Linked DNA regions of Danio rerio. The protein of the gene in region 2 interacts with the protein of the main gene of each other region in a biochemical or structural test. Links are inferred from orthologs where the notes say so. Each region holds a gene or a part of one and is shown on either strand. Other genes may lie near its edges.

Region 1 (3,544 bases), on a different chromosome or scaffold from region 2:
TTGTCTGTGTTTTTAAAAATGGCGGTTTCTTTGTTTTTATTCTTTTTTTTAATGTAAAAAAAAATAATGTATCACAAGAACAATAGCATACAAAAAATTAGGAATACAATGCTCACAATTATTTTTACATCAAAAGAACAAATCAATAGAGAATAAACAAAATAAAATAATGTAATAGCAGATTAACTTACAAAAACATCAGCTTTCTTTGTTTTCATACTCCTGTCTTGTTGCAGGAGCGAGTGAGGTATTTCTGTATATCAATAGTGTTCAGCTGCGTGTCTGGTTCTGCCTTTTGGTACCCTTTTTTTGTTATAAGGTACCCTTTGCAAAGGGTACCCAAAAAGTGGTACAGTTCACTTTTAGGTACTTTTTGACATAGGAAACGGATATAAAAGCATAACGAACTGAACCGATTTTCTGAGTTCTGATTTTGTCATACAAAGCAGTGCATGGGCTAGCACCTGACTACATTTGTGACCTGGTTTTATATATATATTACAACTACTTTTCTTTAATTTCAACATCATGTGTGTGCATGTGTGTTTTTTTTGTCTAACAGTATGGTTATCAAGATGAAGAGGAGCGCTCTTTAAACCTGGTGGAGAAGGGCAGATATCCCGCATCCTCCTCTCGTGTCAGGGGAAATCCTCCAGTTCCTCCATCTCTGGATAAGGATGATCAGCTTCTGCAGGATCTGATGACTCTCCTCCTTTCCTCTCCTGCACAGCCCAGCTCACGCCATCGTGTGGCAGCACCACACTCCACCTCATCTTTTTTCCAGGATCTGGACTTCCCGCTTGAATACAAGGATTATAACAAGGACACTTTTTCCCAGGATGAAAGGATCAGCAGCCAGCGAGAGCCAAAGAAAGGTCCCCAGAAGTATGGAAGCTTTTCTGCGCACAGCGGTGAGATAGTTTGTTGATGTTTATTGTAGCTTAAATGTACAGTATTTGCACAGCAAAAAATTACATTGGCAATAGTTGGCAAATCACTAGTTACTGTATTTTTTTATTACTTTTCAACTGAAATAAGTAAAGAGATTGCCTTTAATTAGTGTTTTGTTAATTTAATTACAGTTATACACTGTAAAAGTGCTGAATCCCTTTATGTTGTCCTAACACAGATTTATTAAGTTAACTGTTACAAATTAAAATGGATTAGAACCAATATTAATAATTCTGATTTAAACTATTAATGCACCTCAATTTTGCCCATACAGTATGTGGCATATATACGCATATATGCAGCTAATATATTATCATATATGTGCATATATACTGCATGTAGGTTTCATATGAGCAACAAATGTCATTTTTTTGAGTGGTTGTACTTATTGCTTTAAATACTGCATTTTTATGCATAAAGAAGAATATTTATCAAGACAGCTGAATAATGTGCACTCAAAAAAAAAAAAACTCATTGAATGAACTCAATTTAATTGAGGGCAGGATTTCCAATAAATTTGTTAAGCACAAACTAAAAAATTTTTTTTTAAACAATTAAATGGAATTGAGTTGATTTTATTAAATACAAGTTTAAATACATTTGTATTTTTGTTCAACTTAAACTCAAAGGTCTGATAATATCATGCGCTGTACGTCTATCATGTGTCGTACATTTTGAAGTTTTTTAGTTTTATTTGAAGTTATCCTAAGTAAACTAAAGAGCTATTTTAAAGCTTATTTCATGAGTTGCATATACAGTTGGTTGAGACTGATCTCAGAACTCATTTTAGGACAGTTACTGCTCACTGAGCAAAGCAACAAACTGCATTTTTGCTAATTAAGCTGCCAACACCCAAAGCATGTGTGCTTCTGCCAGGTGGTAAGTTTATTTATTTTTCAGAACATGGGACAGTGTACATTAATCAACCTTCTCAAAGAACGTAAAAGTACCCAAATGGGGTATATGCCGAGCTAGTGTGTTTCCCATACTGATAAACTTCCGGTGACCTGTTATTGTGAGGTTTTTTTTTTTTTCATTTTATACGGTTCATTTTACAGCATTGATGTTGTAATGTAATTCAAATTCAATCAGTTAAACAGACTTTGGCATTCATTTAGTTGCTCAAAATGAGACAAAAAGCCGCTTACTCGCACATGCCCGTCGAAATCGGCAGGCTAGCGCAGAAGCTCCATTGAATATACTGGGGAAAATAAAATGCTCATATTATAAAGACATGGCGGGGAAAATGTAATCTAATGCGGTGCTTCTTGTACAATCAATTTATAACAGATATCACTCAGCCAGTGGAGATGGCTGATTTTTAAAGAAAACAGACCTTAAACGCGCAGGTTTTGCATTAGCATACAACTCACCGGAAATTATTAACCCAGGTGACTGGCAAATTAAATGTCCTGTTAGCATGCTTCGGCATATACCCTATTACCCCAAAGACTAGTTTTAATTTTTCTGTAGTTCTTATTGTTGATTGATGAGCACTGTTCAATAAATAAAATAAATGACCTTTCAACTCTAACCAGCTGCAGGAACATCTCAACAAGGCCTAAATGAGCTGCTTCTGCAACATGGGTTTGATCTAAATCACCTGAACCCTGAGGAGATGGAGCGTCTCTTCTCTGTCCTTCAGTTCCTGCAAAATGAGCCACCAAATAATCAGAGAAAATGTGAGCACTCTGACATTTCCATAACATTTATTATTATTTAGATATAAATTGTTATTGTTGGCGCTCTGAAAATATGCTAATTTGGAATTGCTTGTTTTTCTTCATTCAGCTGAAGCCAAGGATTCCTCTGCGCCTCCAAAAGTGGTAAGCAGAAAGAAAATGTAGAACTGCTGTCGTTTAGTATTTCAGTTATGTTTCAAGGTTGGGTTGAGCTCAGTAGTAGTACTTTTTATTAACAGCAGGGGGCAGCAAGTATTAAAGAGATCGTTCACCAAAACGGAAAACTCTGTCTTTAACACAACCTTCTCTTGAAACTCAAACTTGAGTTTCTTTCTTCTGTTGAACACAAACGAATTCATGTTGACAAATCATGTAACCATTGACTTCCATAGTAGTTTTTTTTTCTGCTATGGGTGTCAGTGATAACCGTTTTGTAACATTATTCAAATTATCTTCTTTTTTGTTCAACATCAGAAACTCATGGTGAGTAAAAATATAGTGAGTAAATTACATTTTTGAGTGAACAATCCCTTTGATCTATAATTCTATGAAAACAAGTGGGGGAACTGTGAGCCATGACCATGTGTGATTTGTCATGTAGGTAATTTCTATTTAATCCAACGTTGATGTTTGTCTGTGCACAATATTTTAGGTTCTTTAGCACTTCAGCAACATGATTCTTACCTCCTTCTTTAGTCCCCTTTGCATAAATAACCACGGCTGGTTATAAAATTAACAGACTTTTCTTGATGGCCCATCTGACAGCATTTTAAAGAGAATACGAGCGAAGAAAAAAATAGTAGGATAAACATTCTGGGAGAGTCGCAGTTGCCAGAAGTCAGAGATAATCTGCAGACATGAGTCACATACTTTAGTGTACTACATACACTGAAAACAATGATTTATGCAAA
Region 2 (4,112 bases):
ATCAGAGCAGGCAACGTTTCTCCAATCTTCTATTGTTTAATTTTGGTGACCCTGTGTGAATTGTAGCCTCAGTTTCCTGTTCGTAGCTGACAGGAGCGGCACCCGGTGTGTTTGTCTGCTGCTGTAGCCCATCCGCCTCAAGGTTGGACATGTTGTGTGTTCAGAGATACTTTTCTATCTCATGTTTCTTTGTTTATATTACAATTCTGAATTAGTTTTTTTCTTCTTCCTGCAATTCTGAATTTATTAATCATTTTGAGGAGTTCATAGGCTGTTTTTTTCAATTCTAAATTTTACAACAAAGATGTTTACATGACAGAAAAATAGCTGAAATTATGTTCTTATTTATTTATTTTACTTTGTGATGGTTGTTCCTGATGATCCTCAGTTGATTCATCAGTTTTCCCTCTTTTCCATATTCGTGCTATAAACATATTCACAAACGCTTACACAAAACTGTATTTTGAATACTCCCCCCCCTCCCCCCTCAAATTCAAAACAACACGACTACATTAATTAGTGTAAGGAAAAACAATTATCATACATAAATTTTCTGTCAACTGTGATAAATAAAATAAAGCTGTGTATTAGAGTTTTTTTTTAAAGCTGAGGTGAGTCATTTAGAGTATGAGTAACACTTTGAAGCTAATGAGAACAGTCAACATCTTTTACTGCGAGTCAATATTATTTTGGGCAAAAACACTTATGTGTTATATTGACCAGCAGATTTACCAAACACATGACTTCAATACAATAGAGCTTCAATCCCTTCAGCTACAGATGAAAATGGACTTTGCTTTATGGTATCGGGATGGAAGGATTATTAAAGCTTAATTTAATTCTCTATTAAAATGAAAACAGTAAATATGAAAATTAACTAATAATCCCATCTATTTATAAAAACTTAAATTAGCTCACCAATAGTCTTTTAACTGTCTGTGAAATAGTGACAAGTTAAAATTTTATATTAAAAACGTATTTATTTTGTTTTATATTAATTATAATACTAACAATAACTATTATTATTATTTGTTGTTGGATATTAACTTATTCAACGTATAAAGATTTGAATCTGATTAATTATTAATGAGAGAGTTATCTTTGTTTTCCTACTATCTATCTTATTACAACTAAAAGCTGCATTATAATAAGAACAAAAGTCATACAGTAATGATGACACTGAAGTAATTTTACGCCATTATTTTCGCTTTGTTTCTAAATCACTGTACAGCTTTAGTGGCTTTAGTGCGGCGAGGAAAGATAAATAAGTTGACAATCCCCGCCCCTCTCATGAATAATCAATGAGATACAAATCTAACGCTTTTCTCCGGCCGTCCGGTCTAAGCAGCAGCGCGTGTTTTTAATTAAATAGTTTCTCCGTGCCGTGAGAACCCGAACTCGGAGAGCTGCAGCAATAAATACCAATGTTTAAACTTATTAAACAGATTTATTATTAAAATTTCGCTCCTCTTCCTTCCTCAGGGGAAATGTGCGTGCGAGTGGGTGTGTCGAGCGAGTTTAAACTTTAGGATGAGTTAAAGTTTGATGATGGCCGTGTGGACCCGCGCGGAGAAACAGGGTCATCTGGACCTTCTGCTGAGCGACCGCTGGGTCCGGGTGTCAGCGGAGCTCACGCGGGACAACCTCACTCTCACGGCGGAGGGAGAACCGGGCGGGCCCGCGGGTTACCCGGAGCACAATTCGCATCTGAAAAACGGCGTTTCCAATGGCAACGAACAGAACCGGGATGTGTTTACGAATCGCGTGCAATACGACAACAGCCCGGGTCGCGTTAACGGGACCGGGTCGGACTCGGAGTCCAGCGGTTACTGTGACTCGGAGGGGGTACGCAGAGTTCGGATAGTCAAGCAGGAGTCCGGCGGACTGGGGATTAGCATTAAAGGGGGACGGGAGAACCGTATGCCTATCCTAATATCAAAGATCTTCCCCGGTTTAGCTGCGGATCAGAGTCGAGCTCTGCGTGTGGGCGACGCGATACTGTCCGTCAACGGCAGCGACCTCCGCGACGCTACGCACGACGCGGCGGTGCAGGCGCTGAAGAAGGCTGGGAAGGAGGTCACGCTGGAGGGTAAGTCAATCACTCGAGCCGCGGGGATTCAGTAGGCCTTTGTAGTTTACCGTTAATCAAAACAAAGTTTTTTGAATAATTAATTATTTATGTGTTCATAATTTACACGCCTAAATAGAAACTTTGAGGTGTTTCAGGTTTTATTGTGTTGAGTTTTAACTGTTCATGTTGTAAACATTGGCTCATTTGACATATTAGATAATTCAGGTTTATAAGAGGTTTGGAAACCCCTTACTGAAGTTATGAAACTTACAGATGTGTGATGTGCATGACTGAAGGTTTTTTGTGGTAATAAGCAGATAACTTTTTTTTCTCTAATAGCAATTTTCTCCAAACACCAGGTATGATTTGAATAGGAATGGGAGTAATACAGTAAAAGAGGAATAGATAAACAGATGTACTGTATTACTGTACTTTTTTAACTTCATTTTTTTTTGGTGAAATCACAGTATTATTTTTTATTTATATATTTTTTATCTATCTAATGATTGATTTATCCCCTAAACATCTATCAATAACTCTGATTTGCAATACCCATATTCTGCAATACAAAAATTCTAATTTTGAATGATATTTTAGTTCGGTGTTGAAACACTTTAGTACGATATTTATTATTAATTATTGTCTTTGCACATTTTTTTTAATTTTAAATAAATAACATTTCATACAAGTTTTCTTCAAAATAACGCCCACTTCAGTGGCTCTTCTTCTTTGATTGGTGTTCACTGGCATGAAGGCGGAGTCAAGGTGTCATTCAGTGTGACTGACCAATAGCAAACCACAGTCAGTGTAAAAATCCAGCCCCACTATTTTTTTCCTAGTAAAGATTCTGTTTTGGGCGGCACGGTGGCTCAGTGGTTAGCACTGTCGCCTCACAGCAAGATTGTTGCTGGTTCGAGCCCCGGCTGTGCCAGTTGGCATTTCTGTGTAGAGTTTGCATGTTCTCCCCATGTTGGTGTGGGTTTCCTCCAGGTGCTCTGGTTTCCCCGCAGTCCAAACACATGCGCTATAGGGGATTTGAATAAATTGGCCGTAGTGTACGTGTGGGTGTAAATGCAAGAGTGTATGGGTGTTTCCCAGCGCTGGGTTGCGGTTGGAAGGTCATCCGCTGCATAAAACATATGCTTGATAAGTTGATGGTTCATTCCGCTGCGGCGAACCCAGATTAATAAAACGACTAAGCTGAAAAGAAAATGAATGAATGAAAGAATCTGTTTTGCGACTTTATTTTCATTAGTCTCGTACCTAAGAGTAAATCTATGTAACACGTTTTTCAAACTAAATTATATAAATTGTATGCATTTTGTGGGCCTGAAAGAATCGTTTTGACATGTAAACATTGTCTAATAAATAGTCCCACAAATTTTGTGTCGAAGTTTGTAGACTATAAAACAAAAAAACTATAAAATAAAAGCAAAAATTGTAGGTAGCATGAAAAAAATGCAGATAAAAGTCTTTAATATCTTTAAATAATGTAATTCACTTAATTAGAAATTTTATTTGTCAGCAATATTATTATTATTATTATATTACAAAATATTGGATTTGTTACTTTTGTTGATATGGTCTAAAATTTTAAGGGGATATATCATCTTATTATTTAAAAAACAACAAAAATCATGGTAATAAAAATTATTTGTATTGCAAAAACACGCGAAAAGCTGTGATTAATAAAAGATAAATATAATAAGTGGAATCATGACACATTTTTGTACAGTGACAATAAATAAAAATTTTAATTAATGACCATTTAATTTAATTAATTCTTCCTACAAAATATTATAGTTTAGTCAAATTTATTTATGCAAATGATTTATTTTTTCTGGATCGAAACCTAATATCTGATTCCTATTTTAGTGTAAATTTGGTCAGCTTACAAATATTTCTACAAATATCAGTTTTTTTACTTGGTGCTTAATTTTCATATTTACAAATAGTTAAACAAAACTGACTTAAACGCAATATTGGCACAGGCAGAGTTTACATTGGTGGAGTCCAGTGAGTGTTGTGGTATTTAAATGTC

The links.
Region 1: the proteins of sntb2 (region 2) and ptprnb form a complex in vitro, tested with the Homo sapiens proteins (2 studies listed by BioGRID and IntAct). The link is inferred for Danio rerio from reciprocal best matches to the Homo sapiens genes SNTB2 and PTPRN.

Annotation. Positions count from the first base shown.
Region 1 is NC_133181.1:14,913,415-14,916,958, forward strand, and holds part of ptprnb (receptor-type tyrosine-protein phosphatase-like N), read left to right. Parts: intron 1-562; coding exon 563-911; intron 912-2,489; coding exon 2,490-2,633; intron 2,634-2,742; coding exon 2,743-2,777; intron 2,778-3,544. UniProt on the Homo sapiens protein: Plays a role in vesicle-mediated secretory processes. Required for normal accumulation of secretory vesicles in hippocampus, pituitary and pancreatic islets.
Region 2 is NC_133200.1:37,489,176-37,493,287, forward strand, and holds the start of sntb2 (beta-2-syntrophin), read left to right. Parts: upstream 1-1,290; 5' UTR 1,291-1,545; coding exon 1,546-2,089; intron 2,090-4,112. UniProt on the Homo sapiens protein: Adapter protein that binds to and probably organizes the subcellular localization of a variety of membrane proteins. May link various receptors to the actin cytoskeleton and the dystrophin glycoprotein complex.